Zea mays: one gene and its partner. The main gene of each other region encodes a partner of the protein of the gene in region 2 in a complex. Links are inferred from orthologs where the notes say so. Each region holds a gene or a part of one and is shown on either strand. Other genes may lie near its edges. The genes, in order: SNF1-related protein kinase regulatory subunit beta-2 and SNF1-related protein kinase regulatory subunit gamma-1-like.

Region 1 (15,882 bases), on a different chromosome or scaffold from region 2:
TAAATAGTTACCTTGAGAAATGTTGGAGCATAATCCATTCTTTTGACGAATTCAATATTCGGCATATTTCTAGAGTTGAGAATCATAGAGCTAACGATTTGGCACAAGATGCATCAGGTTATCGGATAAAGAGAGGGAAATTTCACAAAACTGAAAATCTGATAACCAGTGCAGAGCCAAGTTCCCAGGTCGTGGACCGTCCGCGTGATGACGCCGAACCGTCCGGGGTTACCAGAAATGTTCTCTTAATCGATTCGGCTGACAATGAAACCGATGCAAGTGATTGGAGGACACCTATACTTAATTATTTACGAAATCCCAATATCAGGACAGATAAGAACATTCAGCAAACAGCTTTCAAGTATGTTTTGATGAGTGATGAACTTTACCGCCGAACGGTCAAGTGCTTGGGCCCAGATGATGCTATATTAGCCATGGCCGAAGTACATGAAGGAATTTGTGGTACTCATCAATCAGCTCCAAAGATGAAGTGGTTGTTGCGAAGGTCTGGTTTTTATTGGCCTAGTATGATAGCTGATTGTTTCAAGTACTACAAGGGTTGTCAAGTGTGTCAAAAATTCGGCGACCTACAGTTGGTCCCTGCAGCCGAATTACATCCTATCATCAAGCCTTGGCCGTTCAGAGGATGGGGATTAGACTTTATTGGAGAAATTCATCCTTCATCATCAAAGGGGCATCAGTTTGTGTTAGTTGCCACTGACTATTTCACCAAATGGACTGAAGTCGTTGCTCTAAAGAACATGACGCACAAGGAGGTAATTGAGTTCATAACTGAGCATATTATTCATAGATTCGGCATTCCCCAGACCTTGACTACAGATCAAGGTACTTTTTTATATCAAAGGAGGTACGTGAATTTGCTGAATCATACAGAATTAAGCTGCTTAATTCATCTCCATATTATGCTCAAGCCAATGGACAGACCGAGTCTAGTAATAGGACATTGATTAATTTGATAAAAAAGAAGATATCTGATAATCCTAAACATTGGCATAAGATTTTGTCTGAAGCTTTATGGGCTCATATAATATCTAAACATAGGGCTATTAAAGTATCTCCTTTTGAGCTTGTCTATGGGCAGGAAGCAGTGTTGCCTGTGGAAATAAGTTTGAATGCAGTCAGGTTCGCCAGACAAAATGATCTAACTGCTACTGATTATTATAATTCAATGATGGATAATATTGATGAGGTGACCGACAAGAGGATGATAGCTTTGGGAGCAATAGAAAAGGACAAAATCATGGTAGCCAAGGCCTACAACAAGAAAGTCAAAGCAAAATCATTTCAAGTAGGGGCCCTGGTGTGGAAGACCATTCTGCCTCTAAGGAATAAAGACCGGAAGTTCGGGAAATGGTCGCCAAGCTGTGAGGGTCCTTATAAAGTAAAACAACTGATGTCTGGCAACGCCTATTTGCTACAAACATTACAAGGCAAAGATTTGCCTAAGGCTTTGAATGGGCGTTTCCTCAAGCAGTATCATCCCAGTATGTGGCAGAATGCTTAAGAAAACTGATGTAATTACATCGTGTTAAGATGCTTTTGGTTCGCTTAGCTCCACCAAAAGGCAGGGGGCATATGTTGGAGCCCATTTTGAGCAGGGCGGACGGTCCGGCCCTGAGGCCGGACTGTCCGCGGTCCAGACGGTCCGCGCCTGGGGGCCGGACGGTCCGCGTGTGCGCAGAGCAGTTTAGGGTTCCGAGTTTTGTGCTACGGTTGTTAGCTAGATTCGCGGGATTCACTCGGAAATTTGTTTGTAACGGGTCCAGCCCTCCTCCTCTATAAATAGAGAGGTCTACGGTCGATTTGAAACAACGAATCGAACCTTCAATCAATACAATTTACATTTTATCCTAGGAGTAGTTCTAGTCTAGTTTAGGTTTAGCTATCCAATCCCCAAATTCTTCGTCTCTCTTCGGCTCTACGTCGATTAGAGGAGTCTAGGTCGGTCGGCCCGAGCCTAGACACCACCTAGGATCTCTCCTCCCCGACGGGGTCCCTCCCGGGAGCGAGATCCAGGCGCCGCCGGCGACTTCCGCCGCCTCTGCGTACGCGCGGACCGTCCGGCCCCCAGGGCGCGGACCGTCCGGCCGTCAGGCAGAGAAGCCCTAGCCGCGCACCAGGCCGCGGACCGTCCGGCCCCAGGCCACGAACAGTCCGCCTCTGCGTAGAGAGTACCACCACGCCTCGCACCAGACCGCGGACCGTCCGGCCCCGCGCGCGGACCGTCCGCCCCTGTGCAGAGGGCACCGCCACGGTTCTTGTTGAGTGTTTGACGCTCCGGAAAGGCATCAACAAGTGGCATGCGTTGCATGCTACTCATCGAGTACACCATGACGTTTGCTGCAGATCCAGATAGGGCTAGGCATGGTCTTCAATTATAGTGTCCCTAGAAATCTTGTCTTAAATCTTGTCCCTCGACGACAGTTGCATTGCCCCTTGAGTGTGTGTATGTGAGGGCGAAGAAGTGGCCGACCCTAAGGTCATCTCTTGCATTTATTGCGGTACTAGGGCTCTATCCACTACTCATCCCCCGATGTGTTTGTCATACCGGTCGCAAGGGTAGGCATGACGACTTACATCTATGGACATCTAAGCCTGAGGCACTTGACTGATGTAATCGGTATCCGGTGTAGTATTTTTTGCATTTATTGTGTTCTGCGGTACATTTCATGTGGCTACAGGATTGATGCGCGTACAACAGGCTTGTTATGTCGCCCATCACACATTAATGAGTTGTGCTCGAGACATATCCATGAAGATTTTGTTATAGATCTATTATCGGGTGCATAGAAGTGGGGTCCATCTCCCGAGGCTATATTGTCTTAGATGGGCCTGACACATTATTCTGCCATGAGACAGTTTTACACTCAACTTCCCTAAGTCCTTAACATCCTTGGGGACCATGGTCTCGGCTGCCCTCGATGAACGAGATCAAGGGCTCCAAAGACAATAAGGTCATCAGAGGCCACAGGTGGCTAATCACCGGTAGTGCCTAGTGGACATATGGCCCCCAAACATCTATTACATTATTTCCACGTGAACATGAGGAGCCCTAGGGACTTAGATTCTAAGTGCTTCGGGACACAAGAGGCTCTGAGGCCTTAGGTTTATAAGTGCCTTGGAACACGAGATGTCCTAAAAACTTGTACTTATAAGTGTATATGATACAAGAGTCCTCGAGGGCTTTTACTTATAAGTGCCTTGGGACACAAGAGGCCCTAAGGACTTTTAAATGCTCCATGACATGTGGAGGATGAGAGGCTTAATCTTTTGAGTGCCACGTGGCCAAAAGTGCCTTGGGGACTTCAAATTATTTCTCTCTTGGAGGTCCCAGGATGTTAGGGGCCTCGGGCCTCATAGGGTGTAGGGGGCCTGGATGGTCGTCGTGTCTTTTTATAGCCGAGTCATCTTATATATTTGTCACTTGGACCAAGATCTCTCTTGGTTGGAACCGGGGGAGGTCCCTAGAGCCTCGAAAATAGTGAGCTCTAAAGTCAGTGTCCTGAAACAAGATCTCTGAGAGCATCTTAACAAAACAACGAGGTATATAGCTTTCTTTCGAGTGCTAACAACAACGTTAGGAGGTATGACACTCCCCATGCTGATAATAATGTTGACTGCACGAGTGTCGTTGTGACTTTAGAGACTATAATGTTGGCAGAATGGGCAATTCCAACTTGCAACTTTTTTCTTCAACATTGCAAGCTTTCAGTCTCAATCTAGATACATAAACATTTGATTTGCTTTGTTTTTCTTTCATCTTTTAATTCTTATCCCCTCTCCCTCATCTCACTTGCCAATGATTATTACACGTCTTTTCACTCTATATTTTTGGTAAATGCGAAGTCATCTCTCGGTAAAGCAAGTGCTCATTCTAACTCCTGATCGTTCGTCCAAGCAAGATGAGTATGTTGCATTAAAATTGCAAGAGCCTCCAAATTTACATTAACTACTAATTGGCAGTACTTTAATTCTTGAATAGAAAAGAAACAAACGAGATGCGACCAGGCCGATTCGACTATTGGCCCAAAATAAGCCCAATAACTTTACAAAATTCGGAGTAGGAAAAAAAAAGGTCTTCCGTTGCCGGGACTTGAACCCGGGTCTCTCGGGTGAGAGCCGAGTATCCTGACCAACTAGACTACAACGGAGTTGTTGGAAAGTAAAGAACACAAAGCTATTTATTATATTATTTACGTACTCTAACTATTAGAGCTATAGAATTTTTCTGATATTCCTATGGTGCAACATGTCTCCACCCCAGGAATATTTGTGAGCGAAGGTACTCTCGTCTCGGTCCAATTGCACTGTCCGATTGACCGGTCAAAATGCAGAGAGCCGGCACATCCGCAATCATAACAGCAGCGACAGAAGAATGGTGCCAAATCACAAGCAAACTACTCCAACCAAACCATCACTGCCACCACCAGCAGCCAAATTAGGTACAACAAGGCTAATAATCATTCGAAAATGACGTTCTCGCCCGTTTCTGCACCACTACAACAACAATAACAACAACTGGAAGGGGTGGGCTGCAACCCAAGGGGTGTTCAATTACCATTACCATTACGGCATTACCATTACCGATCCTGCGCGAGAAGAGGGAGCAGGAGCGCAGGCACACGACCACACCCTACCGCCTCAGCACTGGCTTGTAAAGCACGACGGTCACGAACTTAGCCTTGAACCGGTGCGTGATCCCCAGAGCAACCATGGACCTCGTGTTCTCTTTCTCGATGTAAAGGTGGTTCAGAACCACGGTCTGGGGCTGGGGCAGCGGGCTCGACTCGTCTTGGCTTGGTGGGAAGCTCAGCAGCGTGTGCTGCAGATGAGGTGGCATCAGTGGGGGCTCCCGGCCTTCGTCTTCATTCCCAGGAACAGGGTTGTCGTAGCTGGAATCCGGTGAAGGCGGGACTTCAAATCCAACAACGTGGACCCCTTCCTGGGTCATGGTTAGCAACCATAAGTTAGCCACAGAAATTTTGGTACCCACTGTACATATATATGCAAGGTTATGTAACTCCTTACATGGTCATGCATGCCTTGTTGGTCCATATTCCAACAGCCTGTTGCCTTGTCCTGGAGGGAGATAATACAACATGCTCATGTTAGTAAAGAATTTAACGACAAAAAAGGAATCTGGACTATGAACTATCATGCTTAATAGGCTCTTGAGGGTCCTCATTGGTTTTTTACGGAAACATCTACTGCAGATTGCATGTGTTGCACACGTTCACTAAATGTTTCGATGTCATTTGTATGTAACTGGAAGTAGATGTCCTTTGTGCTACTCATCCATAGATTTGGAAATCTATTGATTCTATTCCTCATCATTACGAAGTCAGACACACTCTATTTGTCCCTGTATTGTGGTGATTACTTTCCTTTGCAGTTAACTGGAATGGAATTTATATCTGGTGTAGGTTGAGACGGTCTCACTTTAAGATTATCTGGCTTTGCTGTGTACTGCAACAAGTCTTGAAAGCTTTTAAGATTATAGACCTTGTTAGTGCTTGGGTTCTATGTACTCCCGCGACCTCTTGCAGTATGTGTTCATGAGACCTTTTTCGTTACATGAGTAGTAGTTACTTCAAGTCTATGTTCAGCTGTGCGTTCTTTGTTTTAGGTTTTGGAATCATCAGAGACAATCTGTGATAAGGTTTATCAGGTTTTGGAATCGTCAGAGACAATCTATGATAAGATTTCTCTGAGAGACAAACATACACCACATGTTTATAATTCGAAAAGGTCAGTCCATTTACTTCTTGTTGTACTGAAACAAATCCGATAACAGGGTCAGGTTGGTAATAGCTCTTTGTTGTTGGACAGTGATAGTAGCTGATTTACCCCTGCAGGCCCCCACCGTCAATCAGCGTCCCTCCCCCTAACACCGCAATCAGCACACCTTTCCTGATGCAGACAGTTTCCAATCGAAGTCTCTTTTCCATCTTTCCTGAGACAGTTCTGGTTGATTTTCCATTTCTCTTTTTTTTCCAGTCTGAAACGAACCGAACTAATGCTGCAACGTACCTTACCTTTAGAATTGGTGTCAAGTAGAGTAAAACTATATAGGATACCAAAACTATCTTTCATTGTGCATTTTTCTCAAGCAGAGTAAATATCAGCATTTTCTACTTGTTAGCAGTGGGTAGGGGATGCACATGTTTGCGTGTAGGACTGTGAATAACACCGATGTTTCACATATCCCTAATAACCATCACCCTTATGCAGTTTGATTCTGATGCAATTAGTTCATGGATGGATATGTTTTTGCGTTGTCCATCTCTAGAATGAGTTAAAACATATTTCTTGCTCATGGGAGTACTGCAACTGTAGGCCATTATCTGGATATCTGCAGTATTATCTCAGGCAATACTACTTTGTTTGTAGGAACCACCGCCAGCGACCATGTCCCACTCGTTGAGCCTTGGCGCACAGCAATCATCGGTAGAAAAAAAAAACTAAAGCACAGGTCCACCCATGGCCAAGTAGAAAGGTATATGAAAGCACGGTCAGCATTACAATTTTGTCTCTGCGCTAATTGTTTAGTGATACTGCTTGCAAGATTCAGGATGCTAATAGAAACAAACAATGGAAGATAATTTGTAGCTAAATTACCGAACAAACTAAGAGCCACCTGGCTAATTTGCGGAGGTAGTCTTATTTTGCATAATATTTGTAATCCACTCCACCAAGATTGCATGGTATATTCATACCATTTACCGCCGGGTGGGGGGGGGGGGGGGGGGGGCAAGTAATAAGATGAATTATGAACCGAGTAGAACTGAAATTACATAAAAAGCAGCAAGCTTTGTGATGAAGATAAAACTATGAATACATATTGACTTCGATATGTCAGAATCCAGATTTGATAAAATTCTAGGCAAAATTAAATTCAGATCTTTTGCTGTTCCCATACAGATCAAACGCAATTGAATGGCATTTCACCAGCAATCATTTTTGAACTTAGGACATTACTAAATGGGATGATCATACGGCTAAAAGATTTGAAGCAACAATAAGAATCCAAATGGTATTCCAATAGATCAATTTTAGCCTAAAGTACTTGGGAAAAGGTCACGGTCATATACTAGGAAAATATTTCAGGCAAGGTATCACAGTCCAGTATATGGCAGTCCCTCTCCACTTACATTGCAGTTGAGTACATGAATTATCCTTTGTAAGGGCCTGCTTGGCAATTGTTGAGTTTGTGGTCCAAATTCTGCATATAGAGGCCTTGTTGGCATCGCTACGCTCCGACCCAGCCCTACACGGCAGGGGGTGCGGGGGGCGGAGACCCCCGCGGTATATATTAGTGACCCTAATTAGGGTTTGCTGCGCGTCGTCATTATCCTCTTGTAAGCCACCGTCTACGGATGGCGTTCTGTAAACACTCCACGTGTAGTGAAGGTTTCGCCTGGCTAGAGCCCGTGGTTTTTCCCTTCGCATCAAAGGGTTTTCCACGTAAATCTATGTGTCGTGCTCTGTGATTTGTTGGTTGATCTACTTCATTTTTCCTTCTTCTAACAGCAATTTAGGAAAATTATCTTCGTATGAATATTAGTGACTAGGAAATTATGTGCACATAGGTCTAGGATCTGGATGATTGTTTGGCAAACATGATAAGTATCACAAAACCAGCCACATACTTCCCCATGTGCCACCGCAGGGTATGGGCTGCTCCTTGCTGGAGCTTCACCGCAGGGGCGGATCCAGTAAAGGAACATCGGTGTACACATGTGCACCCAGTAATTTTTGCAAAAACATCGAAGTTCGGAAGCTTGTAAAATAGCTAAATAGCTTTAGATTAGGGTTTCAGTGTTCAGCTTCGCGCAGCATGAAGAGAAGGGAGGAGGACGGGTGGGAGTACCTGCTGGGTGCTCCTCGCTGGCGAAGAGACCAACAAGAGCCTCAGCACCTGGCTTATTGCGGCGTCGGCGGCGGCGGCCCACCGGTCGTCTGAGAGCGAGGGGGACGAGAGAGAGAGAGACAGAGAGAGAGAGAGACAACGCACGAGGAGCCGACGATGGATGCCGCGGAAGGGGGATGCGGGTTATGCATCGACGGCGTCAGAAAGAGCGCGCCAGGCCGCCCACAGGCCACGGGCCTTCCTCTAGCCTTTTTTCATAATTCACTAGGTATATGCCCGTGCGTTGCTACGGAATCAATACGATAAAATCCTTCACCCAATGCACATGAGACAATATTGAGATGTACCAAAAATTGTAATGTTAATACCTTAAAACCACTAATTCAGATGCCCTTTAAGCTGCAAGTGATTGGGTGAAGGGCATATGCCCGTGCGTTGCAACGGGGACACTTATACACGGATATGACATTGTTTAGTGATGTTATCAAAAAACAACTCAACAATCATAACAAGTGAGTTGATCTAGGTAATGAGTGACAAAAATCAGCCATGCACCAAATATTAAAGGATCTAACTATGTAGTAATGAAGATAAGATCCAGCGATTAAACCATCATAGTTGAGATAGAAAGCACCAACCTCACTTGTTATTTGGTGCATGGCTGATTTTGCTCTAAACAAGCATGGCCTCTCTTGTCACTCCTAATCATGTTACTGGCAGCAGAGATTAAGCAGTCCGGGAACACCGTCAGTTTGATGTCTATATATAAACCATACAGACAATAGACAAACTGATTCGCACGGTTTCATGCTAAAAAATCCTCGATAATCTATACAGATGTTTCATTTCGGTTGTGGTTTTTCTGCTACACATTCAGAATCGCAACTCACCGGTCACCGCTGTTACAGCATCCACCCAACACATCTATGCACGCTATCATCCTAATAACTACTTAAGCAATTACACAACAGGCTCACAGTTGCAGCCCCAGGTTGAGGCGCGACGGATCAAAGGCGACCCGACCCCCCCCGGCACACACACAACATTATCAATCAGCCGTATGTGTCTGCATCTGATTCACCACCAGTTGAGCCACATGTGGGAACATCATTGGTCCTGAAAAAAGACAGACACACAAAGGTCATGAACTTTGAACTAAAATGGTCATGAGAAATGGAACATTAACCGTACAAGTGTAGTTAAGAGTCTGGTTTGGCACCTGGAACATCATTGAAACCATTCGTAGTTTGCTGCATGCCTGGGTGTCAGTGAAGATTATTGGGGCTGCCCTTCATCTCAAGGGTACGTTCAGCTCGATTTATCGAAATTTGTGGTAGTGATCCACATTGCTGGCTTGCTAATGCTTCGGAACTCATCCTCTGCGTTGTGCTGGTAGAAGCATATGGCGTAGCATCTGGCTGAGATCCCACCAAATGGCTTCCGTCGTTGCCAGCACAGGCCTCAATGGCAGGAGGGCTGCTCATAGATGGCTGCTCACCTGAAGCTGTTGTACAGTCTTGCGGTGTCGTTGTTTCACGGCTCCAGGCCTACAATATCTTGTTTCCCATTTGGCGACAGAAAACTTTCCAAGCATCTGTTGATACCACGTCTTCTATGTAACCCCCACGGTCGGTGAGGTCTGAAAGAAATACCCTTGGAGGAGTCATGGATCCAGAGGTGGTCAACATGGATGTCTAAGATTCCGCCAGACATCTCACTCCCAAATGCAAGAGCGGCTCTGAAAGATGATAGAAGTGGTAAGCCTCCCAAAGGCAATGCTATACCTGTCCCATCTGTTTTTCAGCGAGATAACTTCATGGCTGACAATTATGGTGTTGTCCTTGATACATAAGTTTGAATATGAATATGGAGCAAGAACAGATAATTAGTGGGATGATTAAAAACTTCTCGACATCGCTGTCTAGTGCATTTTAAGAGTTACAAAGTAAGAGTGGTTCAGATTATTTGTTAAGCATATGGGGCAACAGTTAGGGCATATTATTCAGGTTTTTATGCTACCAAGTACAACAAGAAATGGAAAAGGAGAATAAGTTTTCTTCAGAGATCAAGATGTTTTTTGCTGCATTCAGAACTAAATCACTAAATAATACCAGCCTACCATCAAGAATGAATTCAAATATCTATGCTGTAAGAAAATAAATCATAAAAAGGTCCATTCAGCCTAGAAAAAAAATCATACCTGGAACTATGCCATCAGTGAGTGGAGCGTCCAGCGAGGTCTCAATCGTCACATTGTGGACCTTTACATTACTGGAGAATACAAAGACACTATGCTTTAGTACATATGTAGCTAATATTCACCAAACCACACCTTATGCACAGAGCTAAGTTAATTGCGTTGCACCTGCAGTACACCAGATGTATGCTCTAGGCTGGTGGATTTAAGAACGTCAAGTTTGAGATCACAATATCTTCAGAATACAAGAACTCCAGAAGGTTGGGTCGGCTATGGTTCAGCTCATAGGAGCGCAACCAATGCCACCATACCAAGCTATGGCCATCAATAACTCCATTGTTCCCTGGATAAGGTGTGGTTTGGTGAATAACGTGCATTGTTGAAATTAACTTGTCATGTTTTTCTTGAAATTAACAGAGGCAAATAACGTGCCAATGCTCTCCTAGAATCTGAATTCCGAGTCAATGTCCATTGCCCATACAAATTTCCTAAGAAGAGATTTATTGAAAATCTGTTAGCAGAACAGCATGTTCAATAACTGCAGGCATTTGCAACAGGGGAATTTGGAGAAAAACAAATATTGTTAGAACCAGAAATTGCATACCTTCTCAATAGGGACTTCATGGCGTTTGCACCAAATAAGCAAGCACTATACTCTACCGCCAAAGGACGAGAAAGCACACCCAGAAATAACTTGACACTTCAACGTTTCTATAAATTTCACTAATCTAAAAATGCAAACACCATAGAAATAATCATGTCTTCCAAACTCCCAACAGTTTTTCCTATAATACACAGGTGTCAAATCATGATTAATAAGAATCAAAAGATATGCTCATATTTAGTAAATAACAACAAAATAGGTTGCTTATGGAACACCAAAATTAAAAGAAGACGATGCATATTAGTGGAATGTGAAATTTAGAACTGACACACAATAATTGATGTAACATAGGTTGCTCATTTCTATACAAAATTAACCACTGCATTCTGCTAGTTTGCATAGCATTATGAGTTGTAGCAATTTCAAATAACAGAATTTTGTAAGGATGCCTTAAAAATTATTCATCACAAACACACTTAAATGGTTGGTAGAAAATAGCAGGCACAAGACATGCAAAACTAAGCATACTGTTGGGAGCCACATATTGTATCATCAACTTGAGATATAATATGTAAAATAAAACTACATTTAAGAGTTAATTGTAGCAATACTGAACTTGATCATGTATTGCTTAATACTGATTATTGTTGCACCTAGGCAATAAAACTATTGTAGTAGAAAAACTCATCTGAGAAATTATATCATGGGTCACCTAAATAGACCTTTTATACAATTCTCTTACTGCGGACGGACTGACCCGAGGGTTACAGGCAGGTGGTATATTTCTAAAATTAATATAAAAAGATAAGTTCATGACAGGAAGAAACTCTGTGCCAGGAAAGTATGTACCATGCAAAACTGTGTGACAATTTAGAAATTAATTGTTTACAAAAAAGACCAAGATAATTTTAGTGGAATATTTTCTGTTACAACAAGCTTCAAAGAGTTAATATAGATTAGTAATATTCCCAAAACATGGTAGAAGAATATGCAAATTAAAGCCACCAAACTGACAAACTAATTGTATATTACTTACTAACTGAATAATGGAATAGCCGTGAAGAATCCCACAGAAATTAGTTTGTATTATATGAAATTCTAAACATATATCGGTGGCGAGGCTAAGCAAACCAGTAAAGGTGATGTTGAAACCTATAGGAGAATTGACTTGTTCGTACACATCAACAGAGAAATTCCTACCAATGAATTGCAGTCCTGTCCAAAACAAAAAAGTGACTGGTCAGCATCAATTTTCACTGAAATAAAAAGCCTTCAAATCTATCTCGATGAACCTTAATTTGTACCTCTCTGCATGTTCTCTCTGCCAACATTCCATCTCTTCAACGCAAAAATACAAGACAACATGGATAGGATAATTAACTTGAGATATAATATGTAAAACAAAACTACATTTAAGAGTTAATTGTAGCAATACTGAACTTGATCATGTATTGCTTAATACTGATTATTGCTGCACCTAGGCAATAAAACTATTGTAGTAGAAAAACTCATCTGAGAAATTATATCATGGGTCACCTAAATAGACCTTTTATACAATTCTCTTACTGCGGACGGACTGACCCGAGGGTTACAGGCAGGTGGTATATTTCTAAAATTAATATAAAAAGATAAGTTCATGACAGGAAGAAACTCTGTGCCAGGAAAGTATGTACCATGCAAAACTGTGTGACAATTTAGAAATTAATTGTTTACAAAAAAGACCAAGATAATTTTAGTGGAATATTTTCTGTTACAACAAGCTTCAAAGAGTTAATATAGATTAGTAATATTCCCAAAACATGGTAGAAGAATATGCAAATTAAAGCCACCAAACTGACAAACTAATTGTATATTACTTACTAACTAAATAATGGAATAGCCGTGAAGAATCCCACAGAAATTAGTTTGTATTATAGGAAATTCTAAACCTATATCGGTGGTGAGGCTAAGCAAACCAGTAAAGGTGATGTTGAAACCTATAGGAGAATTGACTTGTTCGTACACTGCAACAGAGAAATTCCTACCAATGAATTGCAGTCCTGTCCAAAACAAAAAAAAAACAGCCCCTGGAGCAGTTGATAATAAATCTGATGCTGATTCCTCGGCTAGCACGGCTGTGAAAGAAAATAGTATTGCGCCTGCAGAATCCAACAAGGGGACTGGAAGCAATGATAAAGATGAAGTATTCTCAGACAGTGACGACGGGGAGGATGGATCATCTAAGGAAAGATAGGAGATGACTGCTGGCGGTGGTCAAGGCAGTGTAAATGCTGCTAAACCATCCCAAACAAGCCAACGTGAAGGAGGCATCGGTCGCTGCTAGCAGACTTGATAAAGTATAGCTGTAACCAGCGAACAAGGAACCACGAAGGCACCTGATGTCACATCTCTCAAAACTCAAGTCAGCAGCAAGGGCAGCTCCACCGCAGCTGCTGACTCTTGCAGCATGAGCGAATTCAAGGCGATCGCAGCAGATGCCAACACAACAGTAGAGCATTTGATGCACAGTAAAAAAGTGAATAGGAAGGAAGAGGAGCGGGACGCACGCGCACCAGGCCGCTTCTCGGAGAAGCATCCCGGGATGACGACAGAGATCCCCGCCTGCTCGCTAGGCCCGTAAAACGTCGCCTCAGCCCCCACCCTCGCTGCGGCGGCCTCGCCACTCCCCTGCGTGTGGAGATCCCTACATGCTCGACGGTCCCGTCAGCCACCTCGTCGACCCCCACCCCCGCTGTGGGGGCGTCCTTCCCGCTCTCTCGTCGTCGGCGTTCCGCTGCGCCTTGTTCTTTGACGGGTGGTTCGGCTCGACACAGGCGCGAGGGAGAACGACTTCGTGGCGAGGCGCGAGGCGTGTAGCGACCGGTGGGTGATGGGGAATGGGGGAGCGATGTTGGAGGCGGGGATCGGGGCTCCCAGCTCCTGCGCGGCTAGGGAAATAGAAAGGGGAGGCGAGGATCGCGAGCAGGACTGGGACGGGGGCACTCCCTCGCCATGTGCGCGAGGATGGCAGAGGCGCAGGCTGGACGGGGGCAGGGTCGGCGTCTCTAGGGGTCGTGGACTTCCATTGAAGGCGTGGGCGGTAGGAATGGCGGTATGGGGGGCACTTACAGCAACGACGCCATGGATGGAAGGGTTCCTGGGAAGGCGGCATCGCGGTGGCAATGGAGGGAGCGCGGATCGCGTGGGTAATGGAGGGAGCGTGGATCGCGGGGGGGAATTGCAGTAACGGCGCCATGGATGGAAGGATTTGCGGGCGTTGCGGGCTGCGGGTTGCCATGCGGGTGGCAGAACGCGCGGCAGTGTGCACGCCTACGTTGGTAACATATAGAGTAGTAGAGATTTGGGATTTTCTGCTTATAATATTCTTCATCTTCCTTTTATTTTTTTATTCTTGTTGATTTCATATCTATTATCTTAATGAAACATTATTAGTGGCTAGTACCCTTCCGTTCTAAATTATAAGTCATCTTTATGGTATAACCATTGATCATAGGTTAGTTAACACCAAGTACATCAGAGACCAGGTTAAATCTGATAGTGTGTCAAATCCACACAAGTGAGAACTCGAAACAAACCCACGCCATGACGCCAAGTAATTCGAAACAATCTACATTTAGGACATTTTCGGTGGGAGTTTCATTATCATTAAATATTGTGACACATCTTCAAATCTGGTGACATAACAACCTATTTATTATGAGAGAGATGAAATGAGTTTCATGGAGATGAAACTAGGTATAAACGGTTACCTAGACATGTTGTGTCTTGCATGTTACCTATGAAACCACGTCAAATAAAAATGTGCACTCACAATAGGAAGTTTCATCTATGACTTCATTTGTTTCGCGCTTATGTGGCACTTTGGAAACATAAATATGGAACTTTTCACTAAGAATGCCTTGCACCACGACTGCAAATACGGAGATAAAACTTCAAAACATCAAAAACTAATTATCGCATGATTTATTACGTTGATTTATGTGATGAAAATCGATTTTATTTCTATGCTTTAACACCTCTAAATAGACTCGTGAACGGAAGTTGTTCATGGTGTATGTTGGAAAAAAATGGAGTGGGTGCTCAAAATTATTGAACATTCTTATAATCGACTAATTGCATTTTTAAATCTCATTAAATAACTATTTCGTTAAAAACTCTAAAATATGTTTGTACAAAAATACTAGTATTAATTTTACATTTTATGATGAAATGTTTGTTAATGCTTAGTTTGCATGTTTTATTCCACCATTGAATCTATATCCATTGCACATGAGGCACTTTTTTCCCAGGAAGGATGATTGGGTTGGCCTGAATGCCTAATGCACAAGATATAATACATGTGGGAGTATTGGACACTATTCCTGTCCCTAGGTTTTTGTCTTGTTAGATCTATGTGTGTTGTGTTTGTGTGTGACTGTGTGTCACAATTATACTTTGAATGTTCGTGTGTGTATGTGACACGTGTCAATGGACACTGTAACTTGCAAGCATCCACAAGACCACAACAACACATCAAGTTTAATTGTAACCACGACGACAACAGGTGACCAATAATTCCATATCTTAAACCTCATCACTTTTGACGACATGTTCTTGTTGGTTGTCGTCCCAAAATTTCAGAGTGACCATGACTAGCAATCTAGCATCTAGACGCAGTAGCAGCTACAATACAACACATACATGCCATCATAGGCTCATAGCACTATAGCAGGTGTCGAAGTAGCAGCCGACCTAAAGCAACACAAGCCTAGCTACCTGATCCTGGCGGGCCCAATTCAACGAACCAATAAAACAGCACGAACACGACAACTAAGTAGTTGCGGGGACGAATCCTTCTAGAAGCATTAATTGTGGTTTCGTATCATTCTAACACCAGCCACCCAAAAGATTAGCTCGGGCTAAGCTGCTAGTGCAGGCGGCGGGCTCTCCAGACCCCTGTGGTTCAGACTTGAGACGACAACGACTGCACCACTTGAGTAGGCTGATCTCCGTTGTATAAGACCAGTTGCATGTTCTTCGGGTTGTCATCCACCGGTGGAGGTGCCCAGGAGATGGGTTGCACTGAACCAAGAAACAAAACATGGGATCAGATGAGAAGTTGAGAACAACGAACATGCCTTCAATTGGAATACTGGATGTCGAAATACTAGCCCATGTTAGAATAAGTTTTTTGGAGTAACTGAGGACAAA
Region 2 (15,821 bases):
CATTTGGTTAGGGACCTTCTCCCCAATACCGGCCAATATCAACTCCAACATGGTCGACGGACTCACCGACTAGTTGGCCGAGACGGCCGATGTTGGGACCGACACGGTCGGTACCGATCGACATGTCTCCCATATCAACGGTCAGTATAGGCGTGTGTTAGAAGCAGTCTAACCTGCAAGAGAGTGTGAAATACTCTTGCATTGGTATATGGGAGCTGATTGAGAAACTGCTACTTATAGACAGACCAGGGTCTGATGATCCAGGAAATTATGAGAAACAAAGGTTTTGTTGAGCTAAATAATGTAGACTTCGCTGAACTCTACTCACAGCCTGCTGGTATAGCCGGTGGCAACAACGACACATGGGGAAGAAACTCAAAAACCCGAAGTCAGTCATGTTAATTGCAACAATCACAACAAACTTCGGAGGTTTTTGACATTTTCAGGTAAGTGGCCGTTTGGGAGGGCTCCTCGGCAGCTCCAGTACCGACTTCTCGCTGAAGCTCTCCCAAACGCTACCCACAAAACAGCTCTTGAGCAAGAGCAGGAGCTAGAATACGGCTGAGAGCCGGAGCTCAAATTTTTGGCTCTCCACGGCTCCACGTATGGGCACTGCGTCTCTCCTCGAGCAGACACCTCTCTCCAAGCCACCCCCATGATGTGATTCAAGAAGGTTGCACGGTGAGCAAAGCATTGGTCGTCCATGCGCTGATGCAGCTGGCAGCGAGATCGTTTTACTCCAAATCAAATAATACAAAAATAATACACGAGGAGCCGTTTTGCCAAACGATTTGTAAAAAGCACATGCTTTTGTTGAGGAGCTACTCCTTTAAAGAAGCCAGATCCATAACTATTTTTAGAGGTGCCGGAGCCCTCCCAAACGGGTCCTAAATATATATAGTAGATAGGACCACATTGCACGTACGATTTGTTCGACTGCCTGTCTATATAGACTCACTGTGGGCATTCGGGTTAGCCCGAAAATTTGGGTCGGGTTTTTCGGGCTTTCTAAATTTCGGGTTTCTAGAAACGATACGCAAAAGCAGTGTGACTGTATTGTATACCCGTTAATTCGGGTACCCGAATTTTTCAGGTTCGGGTTTGGGTAGCCCATTCTACCTGTTTTCAAACCAACTTGGTTAGCCACTGCTTGTCTGCTTTAGTTCACTGTGGTGCATTCCATTTCCAACAGCAAACAAAAAAACATGCATCACAACTGCACAACAAGCATTTAGTGTTTTAAAAAATTTCACATAGCAAAAGTGTAGCACATCACATCAGTTTGACTATTTCTGTCTTCCTGAGAGAGACAAATCATCACATTATTAGTTTACCACAACTCAAAGCCATAGTCGGGCAATCAACAACCAACCAAGCAAAAGCAGGCAACTAGGCAATCACACAGCCACACGCCCATAGGCCATAGTCCAGAACAGACGTTCCACGGTCAGCATAGGCAACAGGCACTTAGACTGGCTCCAATAGGTCCTCTAAAGGGCCCTCTACCTTAAATTTAGAGGATACAACACACTCTATCCAATCCAGCAAGAGACTGCAAACGAGTCTCTAAATTTTAGAGTGTGGTCTTCAGCCGCTAAATGTGGAGATGCACTGTAGATCCGGTATCCTGCACGAGATGGTTCTTTTGGCTGCTAGTGTACCTGGTGTATGTCCTTTTTATTATCTTTTATTTCTTGTCGACCAATGATGTAAAGAGAGAGAGAGTAGAGAACGGACTTTAGAGGATAAATTTAGAGGACTTTATTGGAGACGCTGAAGATATAGAGAACGAACTTTTTTAGAGTATGCTGTAAAGGACAGAGAATATTCCTTTAGAGGATGAAATTTAGAGGATGTTGCTGGAGATAGTCTTAAGCGAGCAGCAAGGTAGCAGACCACTACAATATTTGCACGTCTGCACTGGTGTACGGTCCATGTGGAGATGCTTGGTTGCTGGGCTGCTTCGCTGGGCGCCTGGGCATTGAATTACTGGGTCGTGTGCGCGGCCTGTCATTGGCTTGACGGCTAGCAATCTAGCACACAGGTAATACTTCAGGTTTATTGGGTAGTTTGGGTACCGCGGGGTATTACCCGATTAGGCCCGAATTTAAATCGGGTATTTAGTTTCGTTACCCACTGAAACCGTTCGGGCATCAGACTTTGGGCTAAACGGATATAGGCTCGGGTATTTCGGACTTCGGGCTCGGGTTTTGAAAGTGCATTCATCCCTTTTGTGAGTTTTGGTGATTTGGATAACAACACATTTAAAAAACTAACAAGTTTGCTAAGTGTTGAACAGGAAATTCAGTATGACGAACATACTTGAATAGTATATAATGAACAGTGAACAAAGGTTCAACACGAGGATAAATAACCAATGGGACAATGTAAATGGATATAATATGATCTCTATATTGGTTTGAATATATGGACAAGACCTGAGAAATTACTACATACATATGATCAGAATAGAGGATAAAGTGATTAAGAGGATTGGTTAAGCCAAAGTGGATAAGATATGAGGAATCGTGAATTGGCTTGACCATATTACTATCAGTCCATATATATGCTTCTATGAGAATCAAACTAGAGCTTGATTGATCTTAACAATTATATCTAGAAGACAATCAAGCAAGGTTCACAATATTGAAGAAATGATTCTCTCAATGGATGCTCAATAGGATGTGACTCAAGAATGGCTTGATAGGGTGAAGATAGCAAGGAAAGGGCTTCGAGGAACTAAGCAAAGGTGAAGGCCAAGTGACGGCTTGTAGACCGAGGTACCATGGCTAAGGTGAAGAAGAGAGTACTTGCACTAAGTCGATGAACTAATCAGCTATGAAGAGTTATAACATGTTGATGCATCAGTAAGGTGACTTGAAACCATGATTTGAACTCATATATGGTGATATGGTACAAGTCACATGGTTTGATTTGTGTTTGCTTCAAAAGGTGAGATAAAGATGTTTGTGATCCTTATGAAGCAACGCCATGGAGAAATCACACATGAGACACCAATGACTCAAGGAGTTTACTTCATTTTATTTATTTAACTTGAGTATAGGAATCGTCGTACTATAAAGGGGGATCCAAAAAGAAGGTTGGTGTTTGCCAAAGCTCAAGCCTCTATATTCAAAAGCTATTTTTGAAAACCAAAAATCACTTTAACATTATTTGGTTGACCATGGTTAGGTTTGAGAAACCTAGAGTGTTCTTGCTGAAAAGCAGCTGAACTTCTTCAACTGCAGCTGAACTTAACTTCAGCTGAGTTGAGCTTCTTCAGCTGCAGCTGAGCTTTTCAGTTGAGCTAAACTTTAGCTGAGTTGAGCTTTCTCAACTTCAGCTGAACTCAACTTCAGCTGTGAACCTCTTTGACCATACACCAGCTGAACTTGCCTCCGGGCAGTTGAGCTGGGGTTTTCTCTCCTAAACTCACTGGTCAAGACCGGTTGAACTGGTCCTGAGGGGCAGTTCAGCTGGTCTCTGACCCCTTTGACCTCTAATCTGCAGTCTGCCAGTCAGACTGGCAAACAGGTCGCCAGGAGCTGTCAGGGGCGGTTCAACCGCCCCCCCTAGGCGGTTCAACCGGTGTTGGTCAACTTTGACCAGTCTGCGGTCAGTCTACGCGTCAGTCTGCCAGTCAGACTGGCAGACAGGCTGCCAGGTCTGCCAGGGGCGGTTCAACCGCCCTAGGGGCGGTTCAACCGGTCTCAGGCAGAAAAATCTGCCCAAACGGCTAGTTTTGAGCTCCACCTATATATACTCCCTCCTACCTCTCTCCCACAGCGAAGAGCACGATTTGAACTCCATTTCCAACTTGAGAAACTCCTCCCACTCTCTCTCACACATCTCTTGCCTCTCCCATTTCAAATCTTTGGAGAGAAATCTTTGAGTGAGCTTGAGAGCTACGGTTTTTGTGCTTCATCTCTAAATCTCTCTCGCTCTTCTTCATTCGAGCTTTGGTACTACATCGAGTTCTTTGTGGATTCATTACTCTTGGAGCTTCTAGCTCTTAGACGACTAGGTGTCTCTTGTGAGTCTCCAAATCTTATGGAAGACCACAAGAAAGTTTGTATTACCCGCTCGTTTGAGCAAAGATTATTGTATGGGCTTGACCTTTGTGATCGGCAAAGGGAGGATTAGGGTTGAAAGAGACCCGGCTCTTTGTGGGCGCCTCAACGAGGAAGTAGGGCACCTTGGTGGTGTGACCGAACCTCGGGATAAATCTTGTGTCTCTTGTGATCTTGCTCATTGTGTTTGTTTGTGTTCTTCGTTCTCTCACCCTTCCGTGGAAGATTTGTTCATATCTTTTTGGTGTGTGGATTTTGAGAAGTGCCCTTCTCAGATCTACTACTTTGAACTCTGTGGATCATTTAGAACATCTCATTTCCAAAGTTAACTGGGTGAATTTCGAGATCAATTCAGTTTTACCCAGTTTGCTTCTAGTTTTTGTAGAAAAAGTTTTAACTTGCCTATTCACCTCCCTCTAGGCAACTTTTAGGTTTTATGCCCAGAGCTAATATAGACAGATCAAGAGATCCTGCAGTCTGTATATGCAGAAAAGAGCACAACCAGCTACAATAATAGAAGGCGCTGCTGCAGCCGACACCACCACCTCCGCGGCATCAGTAGAGCCGGGCCGCGCCACCTTCAGGGCGCGGTGCAGCGGCGCGGCCACGATGAGCGACGGGTGCCAGTGGCGGAAGTACGGCCAGAAAGTGGCAGCAACCCGTGCCCGCGCGCCTACTACCGCTGCACGGCCGGGCGCGCCCGACTGCCCCGTCAGGATGAAGGTCCAGCTGTGCGCGCGCGACACGGCCGTGCTGGTCGCCATGTACGACGGCGTCCACAACCACCCGCTCACGCCTACGCCGCCGCGGCGATGGCGTCGTCCACCGTACTCGCGTCGTCCACGCCACGCGACGCGGCAGGCGCTGCTGCTACCGCCGCTCACCGCGCTGCCACCGGCGCCGCAGCGCTATTCGTTCAGCGGCGCCGCCGTGGCCATATCCGGCCCGCCGACTGCGGCGTCCAGTCAATACAACGTCGTCGTCCCAATGGCTAACATCATGATGAAGGCGGTCGCAGACCCTAGCTTCCGAACGGCGGTGATGGTCGCCGTCGCCAGCTATCTCGGCGAGCAGTGCGGTGGAAGAAATGTCGACGACATCTTGACCTTGGCACCTCCCTGCTAGGTGCTAACTGATGGGCTCACACAGTCACACTGGCTACTGCGCTAGGATAGGGGAAAAATGACTTGTACATTTATCGCATTCGATTTAATTTGTCCTTTGCTTACCAGTAACCTACTCCAGGTTGTAACATCATTGTTTTCATTAGCATATCTCACACACGGTTCTCAATTAATTAGTCTTGTAATTAATAGCATTCTTTTTTTTTATGGAAATTGGTTCGTATTGATGTGATATGAATTAGCAGTAACATGATGGTACAATGCAGCCGTTTGAGGTGTTTGGTTCCTAGACACTAATTTTTAGTTCCTTTATTTTATTCTATTTTAGTCACTAGATTATCAAATACGGTAACTAAAATACATATTTAAAGACTAAAATGAATGGACTAAAAAAATAATCCCTGGAAAACTAAACACCCCCTTAATCTTTGTTGGCATTAATATACATGGTAGTATGGTACTAATAAATAAATTGGTCATCTACCTCTGTGAATTCCATGAAATTGATCAGCGTGGATTTTGTTTTAGATTCATGAAATTGGTTATGTTCTTCGTGGCGGGAGCGGCGTAGATAGGATTTTTTTTAATGAGGTATGCCATAATTTTTTCGTAAATAATTTAGTATAATCTATAATAATTTGATATACAATTTAGAATATAAGGATAAGAATAGTATATGAAACTATAGATTTAACATTAACTAGAATGTAAATATAATATATATCAGTTTTTTTAGGTCTCGGTGGACTCATGGTCCGATAGACTGTCTTAGGGTGCGTTTGGTTGCAATGACAGGACGGGATGGGATGGGACGATCCCTCAAATTAGGTTGTTTGGTTCTGGGTCAAGGGTTGGGACAGTACTATCCTGTGTTGTCCCCTGTTGTCCCTCAAAATTGCCCTGTTGTCCCTCAAAATTGGAGGGACGAGAGAGGACGTCAGGGGACGATCCCGTCCTAGCTATCCCACAACCAAACACACCCTAGAGTATGCCACGGTCCACTCGATGGAAGTAAAATATATAATTTAACATAGAAACTTGCATTTATCACTATTTTTTATAATTTTAGGTGTTGTATCATAGTGATAAAATAAGTGTGCACATATGTACACATTAGTTTTTTTTTGTCGTAGGCACAGTCAAATTAGTTTTAGGTGGAGAGGGTTAAAATAAATAATAGCAGTCTGTATTGTATTGGATGCACCAAATCGCTTAATTGGACGATCCCCAATTGTGGAGGAGATATTCTCGGCAACTCTTAAAATAAAAAATCATCTGGAAATATAATTAAAAAAACGGGTCGAATGATCAAATTAGGCTTCGTGTGTTGGACCAGCCCAATCGTGGGGGGTCATAGGCCTCTTTTGACACGAAAAGTCCGGCCCGAAAGTGAAGGGAAGGTATTATACGAAGCAATTATCTATCTTGCTCACGTGGCCTCCACCCAGCGTACATGCGCTGCGGTCGTCTGTTGCCATCTCGCGTTCGGTGGTGACTCCGGGCTCCGGGCGCCCTGCGCCCCTGGATTTCGAACCGAGAAAGAAAGCTGCTGCCCACCGTTTCCCAAGTCCCATCGCCGCCCAAGAACCGGAGCCACGCCGCAGATCCGCCAAAATCACACCTCCTAGCCCGTCCTCCGTCCCAATCTCTTCTCGGGCCAGGGAGGCGGCGGGACTTGGTGCCTGCATCCGAGCCCTAGGTGATACAAACTTGTGCTCTGGCGATGCACCTTGCTGTAGGGATAACTGAACCACTGCGCCGATTTTTCTGATTCCATGTGTAGGAAAAGTCGATGGAGTTTTTATTTGTGGTTTGGAATGATTTAGGCAGATGAATTTAAGTTCAAATCATGCCTGTAGGATGTCTGTTGTAATGCCCAATAGGGATGTCACTCTGTTATCTTGAGAGGATACCTAATTAGATACTAAACTGTGCGTGTAGTTCCTGCAATCAGGATTACTTATATTTCATTAATTGGGTATGTGTGCTGGCAAACCTTATCTTGATGTTAACTGCCCTGCATGTGATATATTTGTTAGTTGGTGTATTTATTAGTTGGTGACAGTGTAGATAGACAATGTTTGATTAATTCTTCAACAATTTCTTGTAGACATGGATCAACCTGAGGAAAACCCTGAATTCCCAAGCTGTGATGCCTACTTTGAAGCTATCCAGTCCAAGAAGAAGTTGCCACTGACTTTGCAAGAATCACTAACTGCTGCCTTTGCTCAGATTCCAGTCTCATCCTTCCCTGAGGTTCCAGCTGGTCGAGGTACACACTTTTGCGAAACAAAACTACTCAAATTGTTTTTTATGTGTTCCATCACCTTTATTCTACAGTTTGTAATCCTCGATGTTTTATATGCAGTAATTGAAATTCCTGGTGATACTTCTGTTATTGATGCTGTAAGGACTCTCTCTGAACAGAACATAAGGGCAGCACCAGTACTGAATCCAGAACCTGGGGCTCCTACTGATTGGCAGGGGAGGTACCTTGGTGTCATCGATTACTCGGCAATCATCCTTTGGGTACTAGAAAATGCTGAGCTTGCTGCTGTTGCACTCTCGGCTGCATCGGCAACTGCTGCTGGAGTTGGCATGGGTGCTGTTGGTGCTGTTGGGGTGGCAGCTTTGGGAACAACTGGCCCAGCTGCTGTAGCTGGCTTAACTGCAGCTGCAATTGGGGCTTCTGTTGCTGGTGGATTAACTGCTGAAAAGGGTGTGGCGAAGGATGGGCTAACTGCTGCAGATCATTTAGGGGAGGATTTCTACAAAGTTTTACTTCAGCAGGAACCTTTCAGATCAACAACAGTAAGCCATTGGTCTTGGCCTTAACAATTACGCATGTAACCACTGAATGAACAAATAATAAATATGTTTTCTTTTGTTAGTATTGATCAAATTTAAGAATCCGTCCACTCAAAGGGACACATTTGACCTAATGTTTTGCTGTGTGGCTGAACGGAATTTTGGTTACCCTACATATATTGCAACTGTTGGCCCATGGTTTAAAGTTTAGACATATCTTGCTTTTTTATTGTTACCTGCACTGTGTTTTGTTGATAAGATTCAATTTAGTTCAGACTCTTCTATTCTAGTTAAATATTGTATGACGATCATCTGTTGTTCTTTTACTACTGCAGGTTCGATCGATTGTTGAGTCGTACCGCTGGTCTCCTTTTGTCCCCATTACACTGGACACTTCCATGCTGACTGTACTTCTGTTGCTCTCTAAGTACAGATTGCGAAATGTCCCTGTGATTGAGCCTGAAAAGCCTATCATCAGGAATTTCATTACTCAGACTGGTGTTGTCAAAGGGCTGCAGCAATGTAAAGGAAGGGACTGGTTTGACTACATTTCTGCACTTCCTCTTTCAGACTTAGGACTTCCATTTATGTCCATTGATGAGGTTATTTTGTCTCCCTTTTCTTGCTGCTTTAGTTGAATACCACCCTTTCATTGGAAGAGCCAGTTTCCTATGTTCTACGACATTCTGATTAATTTACTTGTGCAACCTGCAAAGCACTTCATTATATAATTCTTTATGTGTTTGCCTCTTCAACACACTAGTAAATGTTGATGTGACAATTTTGTTTTTTTTTTCAGGTTATCACCGTCAACAGTGATGATCTTATCTTAGAAGCTTTCAAGTGCATGAAGGATAACAAGATTGGTGGTGTCCCAGTAGTAGAAGGCCCCAAAAGAAAACTTGTTGGCAGTGTTAGCATAAGGGACATCCGCTTTCTGTTGCTTAGACCCAACTTATTTTCAAATTTCAGGTATCAAGCTATCTTACAGCGCGTCCCTGTGTTTTTTTTTGTAATGCATCCCTTGTGTCTTGATGGTTTCTTCCATACAGGCAGTTGACAGTCATTGAATTCATGAAGACTCTAGGCTCCACTCTTCCTGATTCAGAGAGCAATTGCCTGGTGAAGCCACCACCCACTTGCACTCCTGACGCTTCCCTTGGTAGTGTTATTGACAGCATTGCATCAAGAATAACACACAGGATATATGTAGTGGATGATGACCTTGAGGTTGTTGGTGTTGTGACTCTGCGTGATGTGATCTCATGCTTTATTCATGAGCCACCCGGTTATTGCGACAACTATTTGGCTTCAGCGATGGAGAAGCTTGAGGGGAAAGGAGTCAGATCAGTGGAGAAAATTTGAGCTTTTCTGTAGCGTGAATGTTGATAATAACAGGTCAGTATGTGAGGAAGGTTTATTTGGTTGGAACGGTGCATTCGTGTCGTGTTAATCCAGCAAATCCTGTGTAGGTTAAGTAACAAGGCTTCTGTGCTGTTAAAAATATTTTACTATGTCATTTCTTTGGACGGTTTTCTGAACAAATGTGTGGTAACCATTAGGCCTTGTTCGGTTATTCCTACACCAAATGGATTGGATGTGATTGAAAAAAAAATAGTAGAGATTTTTGACTTGTTATGGATTTAAACTCACGTAGGCCCTGTTCGGTTGTTCCGGATTGGAGCCCCGGATTAATTCCTAGCCGGATTACTTCTCTAATTTATATAGATTTTGATGAGCTGGAATGAATCCTGGCTCATTCCGGTACAACCGAACAGGCCCGTAATCTTATTCAATCCATATGGATTCAATTGAAAATGAACAAGCCCTTAGGAGGTGATCCTGTCCATTTAGGCCTAGTTTGGGTACTCTAGTATTGACCTGAATCCATATGTATTGAGGTGGTAACTTAAACTAATTTACATCCAAATCTACCTCAACATATGTGGATTGGTGTCAATACTAGAGTACACAAACTAGGCCGGTAAAACCTTATCGGTTATTTTGAATCCATATGGATTGGAAGAGATTTTGACTTAATAGGGATTGAAAACACTCAATCCATATGAATTGGGATAGAACCGGTTTTACCAGAATCCATATGGATTGAAGGGGATCGGACGGGTCTCAATTCATAACAAGTCAAAATTATTCATAATCTTTTCCAATTCCTTCCTATTATCCGAACAAGGTTGGATACACCTTACAACAAATCCAGAAGATCAAAGGGACAGCGCCGAGAACTTCAGGCATTACTGGTTAACATGTATTTATAGCAGCATTATTTAGTGATGTTATAATGATACATGTAAGTTATGCTTTTATGTAGCCTTTTACTCGCCGGTGGATCACTCAAACGCTTCCAAAACTCCACACAAAAACACTAGAAAGACATACTGTCATACTAAGTTTTTTAGTGATGCCAAACTAAACCGCTGCAATAATATGTGCATACACGACTACAAAGGCTCACAGCTAACAAAGGAAGCTACAACAACAACAACAACAAAGTCTTTTGTCCCAAGCACGTTGGGGTAGGCTAGAGATGAAACCCCGTATGAAAACCTCAGAGCTCAACCCCCAAAGAAAACAGGGGAAACAAAGGCAAAGGAGAACCGAAAACGACGAAACGGGGGAACACATAAAAGAGATAAAACCCACAAGAACCAGCAAGGTCTAAATGGGCACAAGAAAAGGTCAAACGATTAAGGAGGAAAAGCGGAACTATAAATCAAGGTTCTGGCACGTGAATTGCACACTTCCACCCCTTCCTATCCACGGCGAGCTCTTTATCAATATTCCACTCCTTCAGGTCCCTCTTCACTGCCTCTGTCCACGTCAAGGTTGGTCGACCTCTACCTCTCTTCACATTCTCGGGACGCCTAATTATTCCGATATGCACTGGTGCCTCTTCAGGTCTTCGTTGGATATGTCCAAACCATCTCAAACGATGTTGCATAAGCTTCTCCTCAATTGGTGCCACTCCTACTCTCTCTCGTATGTCATCATTCCGGACTCGGTCTCTCCTTGTGTGGCCACATATCCAGCGCAACATACGCATCTCTGCCACACACAGTTGTTGGACATGTCGTCTTTTAGTGGGCCAACATTCTGCTCCATACAACATAGCCGGCCGGATTGCTGTCCTGTAGAATTTGCCTTTTAGTTTGTGTGGCACCCGGGGGTCGCATAAGACACCCGCCGCTTGCCGCCACTTCAACCATCCAGCTTTAATTATATGACTGACATCCTCATCGATGTCTCCATCCTTCTGAAGCATTGATCCTAAGTAACGAAAAGTGTCTTTCTTGGGTACCACTTGCCCATCAAGACTAACATCGCCATCTTCATACCCCATGGCACTGAAATCACACTTCATATACTCCGTTTTAGACCTACTAAGCCTAAAACCTTTTGCTTCCAGCGTCTGCCTCCACAATTCCAACTTTTGCGAAACACCACTCCTACTCTCCTCAATAAGTACCACATCATCGGCAAAAAGCATACACCACGGTATATCTCCTTGTATGTCCCTTGTGACCTCATCTATCACCAAAGCGAAAAGATAAGGGCTCAAAGCCGACCCTTGATGTAGTCCTATGTTAATTGGAAAGTCATCGGTGTCCCCATCACTTGTTCGGACACTTGTCACAACATTAGTGTACATATCTTTAATAAGATTAATGTACTTTGTTGCTACTTTGTGTTTTCCAAGGCCCACCACATTACACTCCTGGGTACTTTGTCATAAGCCTTCTCCAAGTCTATGAAGACCATATGCAGGTCTTTCTTTTGTTCTCTGAATCTCTCCATAAGTTGTCTTAGTAAGAAAATGGCCTCCATAGTTGATCTCCCGGGCATGAAACCAAACTGATTTTGGGTCACGCTCGTCAGCTTTCGCAGGCGGTGTTCAATGACTCTCTCCCATAGCTTCATTGTATGGCTCATGAGTTTAATTCCACGGTAATTAGTACAACTTTGAACATCTCCTTTGTTCTTGAAGATTGGTACTAATGTACTCCGCCGCCACTCGTCGGGCATTCTGTTTGTCCGAAAGATGGTGTTGAAAAGCTTAGTCAGCCATACTATCGCTATGTCTCCAAGGCATCTCCATACCTCGATAGGGATACCATCAGGGCCCATCGCCTTTCCTACCTTCATCCTTTTTAGCGCCTCCTTAACTTCATATTCTTGTATCCTTCGCACAAAACCCCTGTTGTTGTCATCGAATGGTTCGTCCAATTCTATTGTAGAACTCCCATTCCCTCCATTGAACAATTTGTTGAAGTACTCCTTCCATCTATTCTTGATCTCTTCATTCTTCACTAATAGTTGGTTTGCTTCATCCTTGATGCATTTGACTTGGTTGACATCCCTTGTCTTCCTTTCACGAATCTTGGCCATCCTATAGATATCCTTTTCTTCCTGCTTTGTGTCCAACCGTTGATAAAGGTTGTCAAAGGCTTGACCCCGGGCTCTACTAACCGCTCGCTTTGCAGACTTCTTCGTTATCCTATACTTCTCTATGTTTTCTGCACACTTGTCATGATGTAAGCGTTTGTAGCAATCTTTCTTCTCCTTGATAGCCTTTTGGACATCTTCGTTCCACCACCAAGTGTCTTTAACTTCCCTTCTGTTTCCTTGACTCAGCTCAAACTCTTCTGAAGCTATCTTTCGGATGCACATCACCATCTTCCTCCACATGATATTTGAGTCTCCCTCTTCTGCCCAAGGGCCCTCCTCGATAACTCTCTCCTTGAAAGTTTGGGCCACATCCCCTTTAAGCTTCCACCACTTTGTTCTAGTGACCTTGTTATGCTTATTCCGTTGTAAACGAATCTTAAAACGGAAGTCAGCTACGACAAGCTTATGTTGGGTTACCACACACTCTCCAGGTATAACCTTGCAATCTAAGCAGGCATGCCTGTCCTCTTTTCTCAAGAGGACGAAATCAATCTGGCTAGTGTGTTGGCCACTACTGAAGGTCACCAGGTGGGATGTCCTCTTCCTAAAGAAAGTGTTTGCTATAAACATGTCATAGGCTAGGGCAAAGTTCAGGATTTCCTCTCCTTCTTGATTCCTAGTCCCAAAGCCGAAGCCTCCATGCACACCCTCGAAACTGGTGCTAGATGTACCCACATGGCCATTGAGATCTCCTCCTATGAAGAGCTTCTCGCCAACTGGCACACTACTAACCATGTCCTCCAGGCCTTCCCAGAACTCCCTCTTTGAGTTCTCATTAAGGCCTACTTGAGGAGCATACGCGCTGATAACATTGAGAACCAAGTCCCCAATGACCAGCTTGACTAGGATGATTCTATCTCCTACCCTCTTAACATCTACTACTCCATCTTTAAGGCTCTTATCGATCAAGACGCCTACTCCATTCTTGTTTGTTGCAGTCCCCGTGTACCACAACTTGAAGCCTGTACCTTCCACTTCCTTCGCCTTCTGTCCTTTCCACTTGGTCTCTTGAACGCATAAAATATTTACTCGTCTCCTTACCGCAACGTCAACTATTTCTCGTAACTTACCTGTTAAGGAACCTACGTTCCAACTACCTACACGGACCCTAGTTGGCTCGACTAACTTCCTTACCCTTCGCACCCGCCGAGGAAGATGCAAAGACCCTTGCTCATTTTCCACTACACCCGGGCGTCGATGTAGCGCGCTGATAGTCGCCTAGAGGGGGGGGGGGTGAATAGGGCGAAACTGAAATTTACAAATATAAACACAACTACAAGCCGGGTTAGTGTTAGAAATATAAATGAGTCCGAGAGAGAGGGCGCAAAACAAATCCCAAGCGAATAAGCAAGTGAGACACGGAGATTTGTTTTACCGAGGTTCGGTTCTTGCAAACCTACTCCCCGTTGAGGAGGCCACAAAGGCCGGGTCTCTTTCAACCCTTCCCTCTCTCAAACGGTCCCTCGGACCGAGTGAGCTTCTCTTCTCAAATCAAAGCCGGGAACAAAACTTCCCCGCAAGGGCCACCACACAATTGGTGCCTCTTGCCTTGATTACAATGGAGTTGTGATCTCAAGAACAAGTGAGAAAGAAAAGAAGCAATCCAAGCGCAAGAGCTCAAATGAACACGGCAAATCACTCTCACTAGTCACTAGGGCTTTGTGTGGAATTGGAGAGGATTTGATCTCTTTAGTGTGTCTAGAATTGAATGCTAGAGCTCTTGTAGTAGTTGAGAAGTGGAAAACTTGGATGCAATGAATGGTGGGGTGGTTGGGGTATTTATAGCCCCAACCACCAAACTTGACCGTTGGCTGGAGGCGTCTGCTCGATGGCGCACCGGACAGTCCGGTGCACACCGGACAGTCCGGTGCCCCTGCCACGTCATCACTGCCGTTGGATTCTAGCCGTTGGAGCTTCTGACTTGTGGGCCCTCCTGAGTGTCCGGTGCACACCGGACATGTACTGTTTGATGTCCGGTGCACCGGCATGGGCGTGCCTGACGTCTGCGCGCGCTGCGCGCGCAATAAATGCACCGCAGGGAGCCGTTGGCGCCGCAGAGAGACGTTGCTCCGCTGGCACACCGGACAGTCCGGTGAATTTTAGCGGAGCGGCTGCCGCGCGAACCCGAGGCTGGCGAGTTCCTGAGGCCGACTCCCCTTGGCACACCGGACACTGTCCGGTGTACACCGGACAGTCCGGTGAATTATAGCCGAGTCGCCTTGGAATTTCCCGAAGGTGGCGAGTTGGAGTCTGAGTCCCCTGGTGCACCGGACAGGTACTGTTCACTGTCCGGTGGCACACCGGACAGTCCGGTGCGCCAGACCAGGGGTGCCTTCGGTTGCCCCTTTGCTCCTTTGTTGAATCCAAAACTTGGTCTTTTTATTGGCTAAGTGTGAACCTTTTACACCTGTATATACTATACACTTGGGCAAACAAGTTAGTCCAAAGATTTGTGTTGGGCAATTCAACCACCAAAATTATATAGGAACTAGGTGTAAGCCTAATTCCCTTTCAATCTCCCCCTTTTTGGTGATTGATGCCAACACAAACCAAAGCAAATATAGAAGTGCATAATTGAACTAGTTTGCATAATGTAAGTGTAAAGGTTGCTTGGAATTGAGCCAATATAACTACTTACAAGATATGCAAGGAATGTTTCTTTCTTATATAACATTTTGGACCACGTTTGCACCACATGTTTTGTTTTTGCAAATTCTTTTTGTAAATCCATTTCAAAGATCTTTTGCAAATAGTCAAAGGTAAATGAATAAGAGTTTGCAAAGCATTTTCAAGATTTGAAATTGTCTCCCCCTATTTCAAATGCTTTTCCTTTGACTAAACAAAACTCCCCCTAAAAGAGATCCACCTCTTAGTGTTCAAGAGGGTTTTGATATACCATTTTTGAAATACTACTTTCTCCCCCTTTTGAACACAATAGGATACCAAATGATAAAGACTTTTGGAAAGCACTAAGTTTTTGAATTTGGTGGTGGTGGTGCGGTCCTTTTGCTTTGGGCTCATTTCTCCCCCTTTTTGGCATGAATCGCCAAAAACGGAATCATTAGAGCCCTTCTGAGTAATTTCTTCCCCTTTGGTCATAAGTAAATGAGTTAAGATTATACCAAAGACGAAATCCGGTCCTTTTGCTTTTGAGCTTTTACTCTCTCCTCCAAGGATGAAGTCCTTTTCTTTGATGCTCATTTCTCCCCAAGGAATAGAGAGTTGCTCGGAGTGATGGCGAAGCATGAGTTACGGAGTGGAAGCCTTTGTCTTCGCCGAAGACTCCAATTCCCTTTCAATATACCTATGACTTGGTTTGAAATAGACTTGAAAACACATTAGTCATAGCATATAA

The links.
Region 1: SNF1-related protein kinase regulatory subunit gamma-1-like (region 2) and SNF1-related protein kinase regulatory subunit beta-2 share a complex: the UniProt entries of both Arabidopsis thaliana proteins name them as parts of the probable heterotrimeric complex. The link is inferred for Zea mays from reciprocal best matches to the Arabidopsis thaliana genes AT1G69800 and AT2G28060.

The regions. Positions count from the first base shown.
Region 1 is NC_050096.1:194,653,808-194,669,689, reverse strand, and holds SNF1-related protein kinase regulatory subunit beta-2, read right to left. Parts: upstream 8,047-15,882; 5' UTR 7,892-8,046; intron 5,101-7,891; 5' UTR 5,077-5,100; coding exon 5,050-5,076; intron 4,964-5,049; coding exon 4,655-4,963; 3' UTR 4,420-4,654; downstream 1-4,419. UniProt on the Arabidopsis thaliana protein: Regulatory subunit of the probable trimeric SNF1-related protein kinase (SnRK) complex, which may play a role in a signal transduction cascade regulating gene expression and carbohydrate metabolism in higher plants.
Region 2 is NC_050098.1:226,880,064-226,895,884, reverse strand, and holds SNF1-related protein kinase regulatory subunit gamma-1-like, read left to right. Parts: upstream 1-6,629; 5' UTR 6,630-6,893; intron 6,894-7,304; 5' UTR 7,305-7,306; coding exon 7,307-7,466; intron 7,467-7,562; coding exon 7,563-8,005; intron 8,006-8,337; coding exon 8,338-8,604; intron 8,605-8,801; coding exon 8,802-8,974; intron 8,975-9,054; coding exon 9,055-9,367; 3' UTR 9,368-9,635; downstream 9,636-15,821. UniProt on the Arabidopsis thaliana protein: Regulatory subunit of the probable trimeric SNF1-related protein kinase (SnRK) complex, which may play a role in a signal transduction cascade regulating gene expression and carbohydrate metabolism in higher plants.